Linked DNA regions of Lytechinus pictus. The protein of the gene in region 1 purifies or fractionates together with the protein of each later gene. This does not show direct contact. Links are inferred from orthologs where the notes say so. Each region holds a gene or a part of one and is shown in the gene's direction. Other genes may lie near its edges. The genes, in order: COP9 signalosome complex subunit 6-like, cullin-2-like and DNA damage-binding protein 2-like.

The links.
Region 2: the proteins of COP9 signalosome complex subunit 6-like (region 1) and cullin-2-like purify together in Homo sapiens (affinity purification with mass spectrometry; 5 studies listed by BioGRID and IntAct, counting the BioPlex papers as one, with this or other methods). This does not show direct contact. The link is inferred for Lytechinus pictus from reciprocal best matches to the Homo sapiens genes COPS6 and CUL2.
Region 3: the proteins of COP9 signalosome complex subunit 6-like (region 1) and DNA damage-binding protein 2-like purify together in Homo sapiens (affinity purification with mass spectrometry; 8 studies listed by BioGRID and IntAct, counting the BioPlex papers as one, with this or other methods). This does not show direct contact. The link is inferred for Lytechinus pictus from reciprocal best matches to the Homo sapiens genes COPS6 and DDB2.

Annotation. Positions count from the first base shown.
Region 1 is NC_087260.1:11,647,376-11,650,975, forward strand, and holds the start of COP9 signalosome complex subunit 6-like, read left to right. Parts: upstream 1-1,251; 5' UTR 1,252-1,277; coding exon of another isoform or gene 1,278-1,343; 5' UTR 1,344-1,567; coding exon 1,568-1,733; intron 1,734-3,600. Other genes in the region: cyclic AMP receptor-like protein A, read right to left, coding at 1,278-1,343. UniProt on the Homo sapiens protein: Component of the COP9 signalosome complex (CSN), a complex involved in various cellular and developmental processes.
Region 2 is NC_087257.1:3,627,495-3,631,094, forward strand, and holds the start of cullin-2-like, read left to right. Parts: upstream 1-936; 5' UTR 937-1,114; intron 1,115-3,600.
Region 3 is NC_087258.1:23,628,713-23,632,673, reverse strand, and holds the start of DNA damage-binding protein 2-like, read left to right. Parts: upstream 1-1,653; 5' UTR 1,654-2,000; coding exon 2,001-2,174; intron 2,175-3,961.

The DNA of each region.
Region 1 (3,600 bases):
TTATTCTTAATTTGTCACAAAATTGCACTGAGGTGGTGAATCAGACAAGATTCTGATCATTTTTAATATATTTTGATGAAAATGTTTGTATTAACAGTCAAAATCAATCTGAATTTTGGGGTTTAATACAATAGGTTCCTGCACTGGCTGCAGACATATCAGAGTGGAAACAATGACTTTGGTCTATGGAGGAGGAATAGTGAACCAAGACATATTCCACCACCCAACAAAACAGAGACTTCAAAATTTTCAGTCTATTGAATACCAAGGTCCAAGGTTAGATTCCCCTTAATCTAAAGTAACAATGTTGAAAAAGTATGGTTTCATTTCATTATAACGTTCATGTTTAAAATAGACTACAAAAAATTAATCCCAGGAAATCAAATGAAGAATAAAGCTTTCACCTCCTTCTCCCTACCTTTCAACTTGTTAATTTTACAAGCAACGTCAAGATCAATCTTTTAGGTTAATAAGGTTTATCGCGAATCAGCAAATATCAACAGAGGTCGCTGCACCGCAAAGCATGATGGGATCAAAAAGGGGGCAGAGACACAACCAAAAACAGCCCAATGATCACCACCGGTCACCTGGCATGATGAAAATTCTTGAAATTGTGAAAATAAGGATTACGTTACTCCCAGCCGCAAGTCGAAATGTGATTGTGAACAGTCGTCTGAATAGCAGCTAGCTTGCCCCCTTTTCAATCCCATGATGCATTGCAGTTCTGATTAGCAATATATGGTAACTAATCATAATTATATTGCACCTCGCTATATGACAGGTAAGACTAGTCTAACGCCGAGGACATTGATGCGGGAATTAAGCAACTAACTCGGAAACGACCTGGCGCAGATAATCTACCAGATTGAAGAGCGCCAACTTAACTCCAACACCAACCAACCAACCAATATACCTTGTTCTTATATTTGTTTTCAGTTGACTTCTTGGAGGTTGGAGTCGGACTCCTCATCATAAATTATATCATGCCATTCCCATTCATTTTCTTTTTTCATCTCATTCAATCATGTCATTTTACAATTACAATAAACGTTTTTCCCCATCTTATTTCTTGCCTCTTGTTTATTTTGCATGCTCATTTTGCTTCCACATCTGTTTCTTTAAAAAAAATGCAAACTGTTTTTTTTTTTTTAGATCTAGCCTAGCCTAAACCAAACGAACCCCTAAAAAGCCCCGGCCAAAGCCAAGGCAAAGCCGGGATTGCACGGGGGACCTCTGGCCAAATCAAATGTTAAGACTGCGACTACAGCTACACTCACACATTTTGTAACGTCACCATTAAACAACGGGCATTCTTCAAGCGGTGCGCTCGTAGGATCTGCCATCTTTGTTGAAAATATCACAAACAAATAACTTATAGATCCACTCCCTCGATTTTTAGCTCAACTTGAATGGAAAAATTCATGAAACAAACTCCGAAAGACGAAAATAATGTCTGACTCATTTTTCCACCGCACTCAAATTCTGATCCGATCCTGTGAATGAAAATTATGGTAAGCCACGCCCATATTCGTTACGTAATCAAGTCAAAGACTACATCAAGTTCAAGATGGCGTCGGAAATGGAAATCGAAGGGAGTTCATCCTCTTCACAGTCAGCTGTTATGGCTTCTGGAGGGACAGGAAGCGTGGCAGTTGCTCTTCATCCCCTGGTTGTCATGAATATTTCAGAACATTGGACTAGAATCCGTGCACAAGAAGGAAAACCTACCCAGGGTAAGACAGTTTTGTAATTGTATTTGTACTCTACATTGTCCCACGCATTGTATATCATGTGTGTTCACAAAGACGTGTGAGTGACTGTGAATGTGACAATGTCAATGATGCTGTGTCTGTGATTGTGTGAGTGTAACAAGGTTGGCTGAAGTTGGCTCCCGGCGCTAGTGTAGTTTCGCACCTCCCCGTTTAATGGTTTTCAAACATGTACAATCTCACCCTAAATAATTCACAACCTAAAATACTTGCATCTGAGCCTCCAAAGTCCAGTAGAAGTTGAATATTTGCCGTTTTGACACTTTTTTACAAAGTTTTACAAATTACACCTATTTCGGAAACACTCGGTCTCGGTTTAGAGCCTTGTTTTGAACTCTAGGTCTAGAGTTCAAAACAAGGCTCTACATTATTATTTCTTATTTCATCGCTAAATCTACGTGTATTCACATTTTTTACATTTCTTATTTCATTCAAACAAGCACACACACGCACACCCCACACACACCTTCACACAACAAACATCAACCACTCTGCACAACCACTACCGTAATACTTGGTGCAAGCTGAAAGAGGGGAAAAAATCTTTTTGAAGATACCATAGAAAAACTCGCTCTTCTTGCACTTCACTAGTTGGTACGTACTGTACGCGTACCGACTGCTTATGTGCAGCGCTGAGCTTCAAGCGACCGAGTGATTCCGAAATAGTTGTAAAACTTTGTAAAAAAAAGTGTCAAAACGGCAAATATTCAACTTCTACTGGACTTTGGAGGCTCAGATGCAAGTATTTTAGGTTGTGAATTATTTAGGGTGAGATTGTACATGTTTGAAAACCATTAAACGGGGAGGTGCAAAACTACACTAGCGCCTGGCTCCCCTGTCTGTGTCAAGATATAAACATGTGAATATGATATGTTTTTACTAATATTGAAATCTGACTTTTCTTCGAAAAATGCTACAAAATTAGACCAAACAAATAGTCAAAAGTTTTTTTTAATTTAAGAACGGAAAGAACTGCAAAAGTGCAAGAAGAATTTTAATTCTAAAAAGAAAAACTGGTTATTCCATCAAAGTCAAAAGTTAGTGATTAGTCACTGATTTTAAAGAACAGTTCTTATTGGTTCTTAGTAAGTAGTACTAGTATGAGCAAAATGCGCATGCAACGATGATCTTGATAGGCCATTTCATAATTGCTAGATAAACTTTGTGTTGCAGGGGCCCAGACCATTTGACTTTTTTTGTCATAGAAAGCCGTTATGCAATGTCATTGGGCCAACAGCTTGCCAGGACAATCAAAACACCTCACAGTTTCAATTGCCTTGCTGGTAATTGGCTCAACGATTTTGCAATGTATTCCATTTTATCATGTGCATTGTTGGTTCAGACAACAAGGACAAAGCTCTGGAATTCAACAATTCAATGTTCAATTCTTGTTGTTTTGTGCAGAATTGATGTCTTTTAGAAGGTGTTGCAAAAAAAATATTTGAAATCAATTGCAAAGTGACCGATAAATTCTACCTAAAATAAATCAATTTATAATTTGTTTATCAATGCAAGGAGCAGACCATCAATCAATTGCAAATTTGCAATGAAATGCATGACTTTCAAGTGACTTTGGGACCTGATATTGACTTGCAGATCCAGGATTTTCCAAAGGGGGGGGGGCACATTTTCCCGAGGAAAAATTTGACAAGCAAACAAAAAAGAAGGTTTTTAACCAAAAATTAGGCACATCTTGTCCACGAAAAAGTTTGACAAGGAAAAAAAAGTGTTCACTTTCAAAGGGGCGAGATTTGCCCCCCCCCCCCCCGGATCCGCCAGTGATTAGCCCTATATTTTGTGTTCTGCTTTCTTCTTTACACCATTCCTTCTG
Region 2 (3,600 bases), on another chromosome or scaffold:
TTTTAGTTCAAATTTACTCCTCAATATACGAAAAAACCTAGAGTATATAGGGGTGTGGGCTACTAAAACTAAAGCACTAGCCCGTTGTTTTTCTTTACGAATTGAAAGAAGGGAAACCCCCCTACACACACCCAAAATATATTTCAGGAGCAATCTTCCAATTGTATTTTATAAAGAGGACTTTTAGTTCAAATTTACTCCTCAATATATATAAAAACGTGGAATATATATATACGAATGTATATGAGTGTGGGCTACAAAAACTAAGGCACTAGCCCCCTGTTTTTCTTTACAAATTGAAAGAAGGGAAACCCCCCTCCACACACCCAAAATATATTTCAGGAGCAATCTTCCAATTGTATTTAATAAAGAGGACTTTTAGTTCAAATTTACTCCTCAATATACGAAAAACCCTAGAGTATATAGGGGTGTGGGCTACTAAAACTAAAGCACTAGCCCGTTGTTTTTCTTTACAAATTGAAAGAAGGGAAACCCCCCTACACACACCCAAAATATATTTCAGGAGCAATTAATCTTCCAGTTGTATTTTATAAAGAGGACTTTTTGTTGAAATTTACTCCTCAATATACGAAAAAACATAGAGTATATAGGGGTGTGGGCTACTAAAACTAAAGCACTAGCCCGTTGTTTTTCTTTACGAATTGAAAGAAGGGAAACCCCCCTACACACACCCAAAATATATTTCAGGAGCAATCTTCCAATTGTATTTTATAAAGAGGACTTTTTGTTGAAATTTACTCCTCAATATACGAAAAAACATAGAGTATATAGGGGTGTGGGCTACTAAAATTAAAGCACTAGCCCGTTGTGTTTCTTTACAAATTGAAAGAAGGGAAACCCCACCTGACCCCGTTTGTTTGATTTGTGTACAAGAATGCACGCTTCTCTTCGTGCGCAAAATCCTGTATCTGATCTATCTTACATCGCGATATTGTTGGCTGGAACTGTTGGCTGGCTTGCTGTTGGCTAGCTTATTGTTGGCTGACTCTACTCCGGCAGTGACATCATCATTCACCTTTAATAAGCTTTTGATCACAAATACTGAGTAACACAGTAGGGCATAGGAAAGACAGAGGAAAGGTCTTCTTTGAAGGTGAGAAACTGCACTTCTGAATGTTCTGGAAATTGTCAAGGCGTCAACTTTGCTTTTGCTTTCTTCACTTCAGTCCCTCTCGTAAGGATCTGCGCTGGGCCAACTCCCTTAAATATGGCAATGGCAGGTTTTCGTCAATTGCGCGATTTGCGGCCGGTTGTCTAAACATTCAGTTAATATCTAGAAAATCTGATATCATAAACACAACAGAAAAAAGCAGCCTTACACTTATCACAGATTATTTACAAAATGATTCAAAATCATGTTGTGGTGTTTGGAACCACTCGTCTGCTCGTCAATGTGAATGTCAATGACATTGTCATTGACAGTGGGTGATTTCAAAATTCAAGTATGGTGAGACTACCACATATCGACCACCTCTTTTGAAACCGACCACCTTGCGCGCGTTAAAATTATTGCGTATTACAAACGATACGCGCGGGAGAGTAGGCGCAGTGTCCATGGAAACGGTAAGAATCGATTTTACGAGAGAAAAAGAAGCAACAAAAAGTTAAAATTTAGTAGGCCTAGAATTAATCAAAATTGTATTGACCAGACCCAAACCCCGCTGAAAAACCAAGAAATCCGATAGGAAACGGCTTTAGAACAAATATCCGTCGTCAATCATCGAATCATGTGCCGGAGCTCGCAGTGGAAGTAGTGAGACAATCATTTAGCATGTTGACATCATAGAACTGATTTGGAAGAATAAAAATATTTCGCCACCGCGACAAGAATCGGCCGTAAACTTAGTGTATCGCGGGTGGTCGGTTTCAAAAGACGGGTGCAAATGAGCAAATGCAAAATCGTCGTATTCGTTGTTCGTCGATATATACGCGGATTGAATCGGAGTCGCCGAGCGAAACATGGGAATTTGATCTGCTCAATTTTCTGCACAAATGAGACGAAAACTGGGTAAAATTGATGAATATTTTCGCAGATATGATGCTTAGAAGATTAGGTGGTCAATAAGGGGTAGTTCCAACCATAACTGTTATTTAGTAACTTAGATCTACGGTGTTCAGTTTCGGTGTTGGTGTTAAGCGTGAAAAGGCTGCTAAACCGAGCTCCAACACCGATCTGGGTTCAGAGGAGCGATACCGATCGTGTTATCGATAGCTAGTAAGATGTCACGCCTCTGCCCTGCGCTGCTGATCATCTCAACTTCACGCGAGAAATTCTCGACGGCGGAAGTGAAATCAGGGAGAAATTGCAATAAAATCTTATTGTACAGAATGCAAAGATTAAAATTACTGCAAGAATCGGAAAGCGTAAATATCATTTTCATCTTAACTGTAAAAGATAATTTTACAGGGATGTTTCATTGTGTTCACCGCCTGTTCATGAGCTACAGTTCATCAACACCGAATTTGAAATCACGATTTTCCCAATCCCTGGGGGTTGGTGTTGGTGAATGGGGAAATTACATGTAGATCGTCAACACCAGCTGTAATGTTCAGTTCAGCAGACGAAATTCAACACGAACTGCCGGAAATACATCATATTTTCTGAGGTCAATCCCAACACCTGCGTGATATTTCAAGTACGGTGTTGTGGCTGGTGTTGATGTTTTCACAACACCAACACCAGATTTCAACACCGTACTTGAAATCACCCAGTGGCGATGCAATGTAACTTAACCTAAAAGCACAATTTTATTGTCATGTTGTGAAATTGTGTTAGAAACTATTAGTTAGATGAATCAAGGTGAAAGTAGGCAACCAGTTGTCATTATCATGAAAATTAGTCTTCTTGTGTGTTTCGGTGAGTGTGCGCTCACGGTGTAATCATGTCAAATGGAGGAGAACACTACCGTACTAGGAGTGTTCACGATGAGTAACTCATCCACATGAACGCCTTGCCCCAAGGCCAAACCTAAAGGATACCCCCAGGGACATCGGCAAGGCTTCCATATGTCCCCTCCACTAAAATTGAAAAAAAAAATATGGAGAAGGTTTATCAAGAATTATCTAACACATATCTAAGAGATTTAGGAAGGTAAAGTTGGATACATACCAAAAAAAGGCTTTATTCCGTCAAAATCTTGAGTGTGTAATTTCCAATGGCATTGGTTTATTTAGTCAGAAAAGTGAATACCCAATACTATTGGATATATCGGTTGACAACCGTTATGAAACCCATGGCTTTCAACAATTCCTGCTAGCTCAGTGAGTAAGGCGACAGACTGGAGATGCCATGTGCTGCAGCAAGAGGTTCAAATCCAAGAATCCAACCGGAAGTAAGAAGGAAAAAAATAAGAAAAAGATAACGAAAGAAGGGCGTTTGGAGAAGTACTTTTTCAATTAGTGGAGGGGACATAAGAAAGTCTTTCCGGGACATCATATCACACTTCTCAACAATTATGTGACATTGAAACGAAAAGGCATCACAAATACACTTGAAAGTAAACGAACAAAACATACAACAATACAGCCATAGGCTGTTATAAAAAGATTTATGTTGAAACTTCAGGTTCATTATTATTT
Region 3 (3,961 bases), on another chromosome or scaffold:
CTTCAGATAGGAGAGAGGTGAGTGAGGGAAGGTTGTACTTAGAGAGCAGTTTATTCCAATAGATGATAGTAGGAGTCTTGATGGAGAGGGCATGGAGGAATGAGCAAAATTCAAATCTAATATGGTCAATGTTGAAGAGCTGTCCTATCAGAAGGAAAGTGTTTAGTTCAATCTCGCGGGAGAGGTGAAGTAGGTCAGTTAACAGGAAGATAGAGATATTGGGGGCAGATCTCGGTAGACCCAAGAGTTTCTTGAAAAGGGAGTGTTTGAGTGAGGTTTGAGTGAAACACAGGAGCTGTGAGCCATAGGTCATTCGGGGTAGGCAGAAAGTTTTCCAGAGCTTCGCAAGGGTGTGGGGGAGGAAGAGGTTATTGCTGCTGTTGCTACCGATGATGGCAAAGAGGGTGTTGTATCCCTTGGTGATTATGTGTTGAGTGTGGTCATACGCGATGGTTGATTTGGTGATGCCAAGGTGGGGATGATGAGAGACCTCTCTGATTCTGTCACCGTCAATGAAGAATTGGAAGGATGGGTGGATGCTGCGCTTTGACTTGAAGATGAGGATGGCACTTTTTGAGGGATTGATAGAGTTTTCCCAATGAGTGGCATATTCATCTGTGACATTCAGCATTTGCTGAAGTTCAGTGGGAGAACTTGCAAGAAGGGCAACATCATCAGCAAGGATAATTACACCTGCGTATCTATTCTGGAAGGTGCAGCCAAGCCCCTTGTCCCGGAGAGTCTTGACGAGGCCATCAACGAATACGTTGTACAGCGTGGGAGAGAGTATTCCTCCTTGTCTGACACCCTTGTTTAGTGGGATGAAGGAACTGACAGAACCTTTCCAGGTGACACGGCTTGAAGCACCTTGGTAGAGGGCATTCAAAGTAGAGGATGTGTGCCCATGTGTGCCAAAATAAGGTTGGCAATGTTCTCTTTTCTCTGGAATAATTGCTTGATTGTGTGACACTGTCAGAGTCCATTACAGCTAATCATATTATTATTATAACTTGGCTCTTAAGTAAATTTGATTCTTTTAATTATTTCTTCTAAAATAAAAAGAGATTGAAAAATGAAAAAAGTAAAACATTTTGCATGATAATTGACAAACATGACAAATTGTCTTGATTCTTCTGAAAAATTAAAGCAAACTTTTTTCTATTTCACAAATAGGGGCCTAAATATTGAAAGAAAATGCAACTTCGTTTTGGTGACCAATTCCAAAAAGCATGAAATATACAAGTTACAACCCCCCCCCGACCGACAACATTAATTATCATTACATGGGCATTTTTTACACCATGTTCAGCATTGTCAGTGTCACTGCCAGAGTGCCAGTGCCAGACAGTCAGTGACAGTGGCAATGGCCGTGCCCGCGGCCGCTCAGCGCAGCTCGACAATATATTACCGGTGTTTCCAGGAATCTGTGCTTCTTCCAATATTTTCAAATTTCCATCGATCGACGCCTTGTTTCCATTCATCTTGTGGTTTCCACCAACAAAGAAACGCCTTCCACTTGCCATTTTGTCTTTTGAGATGAAATACAGTCGTACAGGTGAGTAAAAGAGGTGGGTATTCGAAGAGGAACTGCAATCAAGTTCTGTCCTGCATGCACTGTACACCTTGACCTGGATGGAACTCCCAGGTCAGTCTGATTTACTTCCGGTTTTCTTGCACGTACCCATTTGCCGAGTTTGTAAAGACGATAAAAACTTTTAACAATATTTAACACTTTAACTGTAAATGAAATAAACAAATTATTACTTTTTAATATATAAATATTTAATTTATCATAGTGCATCAAAACATTATTGCATATAAAAATTCATTGGAGACAGTTCCACTTCTCGATATGGACCATATCGCGGGAAAAATGTTACGCAAGTCCTATTTTGTAAACATCAAACAGCTGACATGAGCTTATGAAATATAAGCACGTGGACGTACTTCAAATGTACTGCCACCGCACTGAGATGTGTCAGAGGCGAAGCTAGATTTTGATGAAATTTGTGATCCCTGAATCGCTTAAAATGGCACCGTCTATGTCAAGGAAAAAGAAAGATGGATCTAAGGGATGCATTGTGACAACTGTCGGAGATGTCGCGAAACTCCCGAAAGAAAAAGTTTCCAAAACTCGATCCAGATCCAGCAGCAGAGCCAGAAGCAGAACTGTGGTGAGTGGATCGCGGCGCGCGGTGTCGCTCCAGGGAGCCGGGATCGGGAGGGAGAAACAATACGACAACCATGGCATGACTAGCCAGGAGGCTTCTAGAGAGTAAAAATAATTTACTAACGTATGCTTACTCTCAACGAAGCCTGGAATAACATCTTAGGGGATGTTACAGTAAAATATTTGGAATCAGTTGCAAAATTCAGGAGCTAATTTACATTGAATGATGATTGAAGGGATATATCAATTTTGACAAAGTCAAATCAATTTATACTTGTTGTTTGTTGATACAATTACAAAAAGAAGACGTGTACGGTCAATCAATGACAAATATTTGGGCTTAACTGCAGAATACCCCGACACTGCTCACTACCCAATCGTTGGTCAGCCAACACAACGATGTCAAGACCTATAGCTATATACTAATTCAATGGTATATAGCCTAGATATATCCCACTCATGGGATCAATGCATCTCGCGTGCGAAGGATTCATATGCACATGGTGCACGCGAATTTTTCACACCCTTTTTACTAAAATAACTATGCCATTTCTTTTAAAATAATGTTTCTAATTGTGCTATGACACTTACCGAACCATATGGATCGTTTCTTGTCTTCTCTTTGGTGTGTTTTTAAGAAAAAAAAAGCATTTTCTCGTGATCTTCACGTAGATACCGCAGGGTCATTGTGGTTGTAAACTTTTGCTTAAAGAGGGCGCGCGATATTATTCACAAGATGTTTGTTTACGGTTCTGCAGGTTGTACTGCTAGCTGCATTTTAGACGCTCAGCATTATTTTCCTCTTTCTGTTTTTTTTTTTTGCTGTCAAGCGGTATTTTCTATTATTTGTAGCGCCATCAGCGATGATGAAATGTAAAGTCAAGAGTCGCCTTGAAATGAAGAAAAATTATGTCCCATTAATTCGTTAGTTTGTTTCCTATTTTTTTGCACTTTTTTCTTCTTCCTCATCTATGATCAAAGGTGAATACCTTTTTTTGATATCTGTTCTAAAAGCTGGACATTTTAAATATTTTGTTCAAGTAAATAAATCAACAGGATAGTAATCAAAATGCGATAGAGCTGCCCGAGCTGAAAATTCTGATACAAGGACTTGAAAATAAAACATTCTGAGCACTTTTTATAACCATGATGAGGAGACCTATATATATTTTATGGCCTCCTTTTCCCTCTCTCTCCTCTACTTTTCCCCCTCCCCTGATCTGTCTTTTATTGTCTCTCCTTTCCTTTCCCGCCCCCTCCATTCCCTTTCTCCCTTTTTCCTTTCCCTTCTTTTCTTTCCTTTCTCCCTCCCCTACTCTTTTCTCGCTATTTCCATTTTTCTTTCTCTCTCCCTTCCCCTCTTCCTTTCCTTTGTTTTCTTTCTATTTTATGGTCTCCTTTTCCCTCTCTCTCCTCTACCTTTCCCCCTCCCCTTTTCCTTTCCCTTTCCCTCTCCTTTTTTGTGCAAACATTAACACGAATATCTTGCTTCCTACACACACACACAAACGCCCGCAATCTAACACACGTAATGCGAAACAATCGGGACATTATCATTTTGTTCATATATATATATATGTATATTTTCTCAATGAACATTTTCATCTATTTAAAGCTTTGAAAATTATTAAACAATGATTCCATAGGCGAAATCTCAATGATCATTAGGAAGGTACTTTACCCATTTTCATTTTATGTCATTGTGATTATTCCATACTAAGGCAACATATTTTGGATATAAAAATACGTGAAGGATATGTTCCTCTTCTGTTTTATACTTTAACAGAAAAC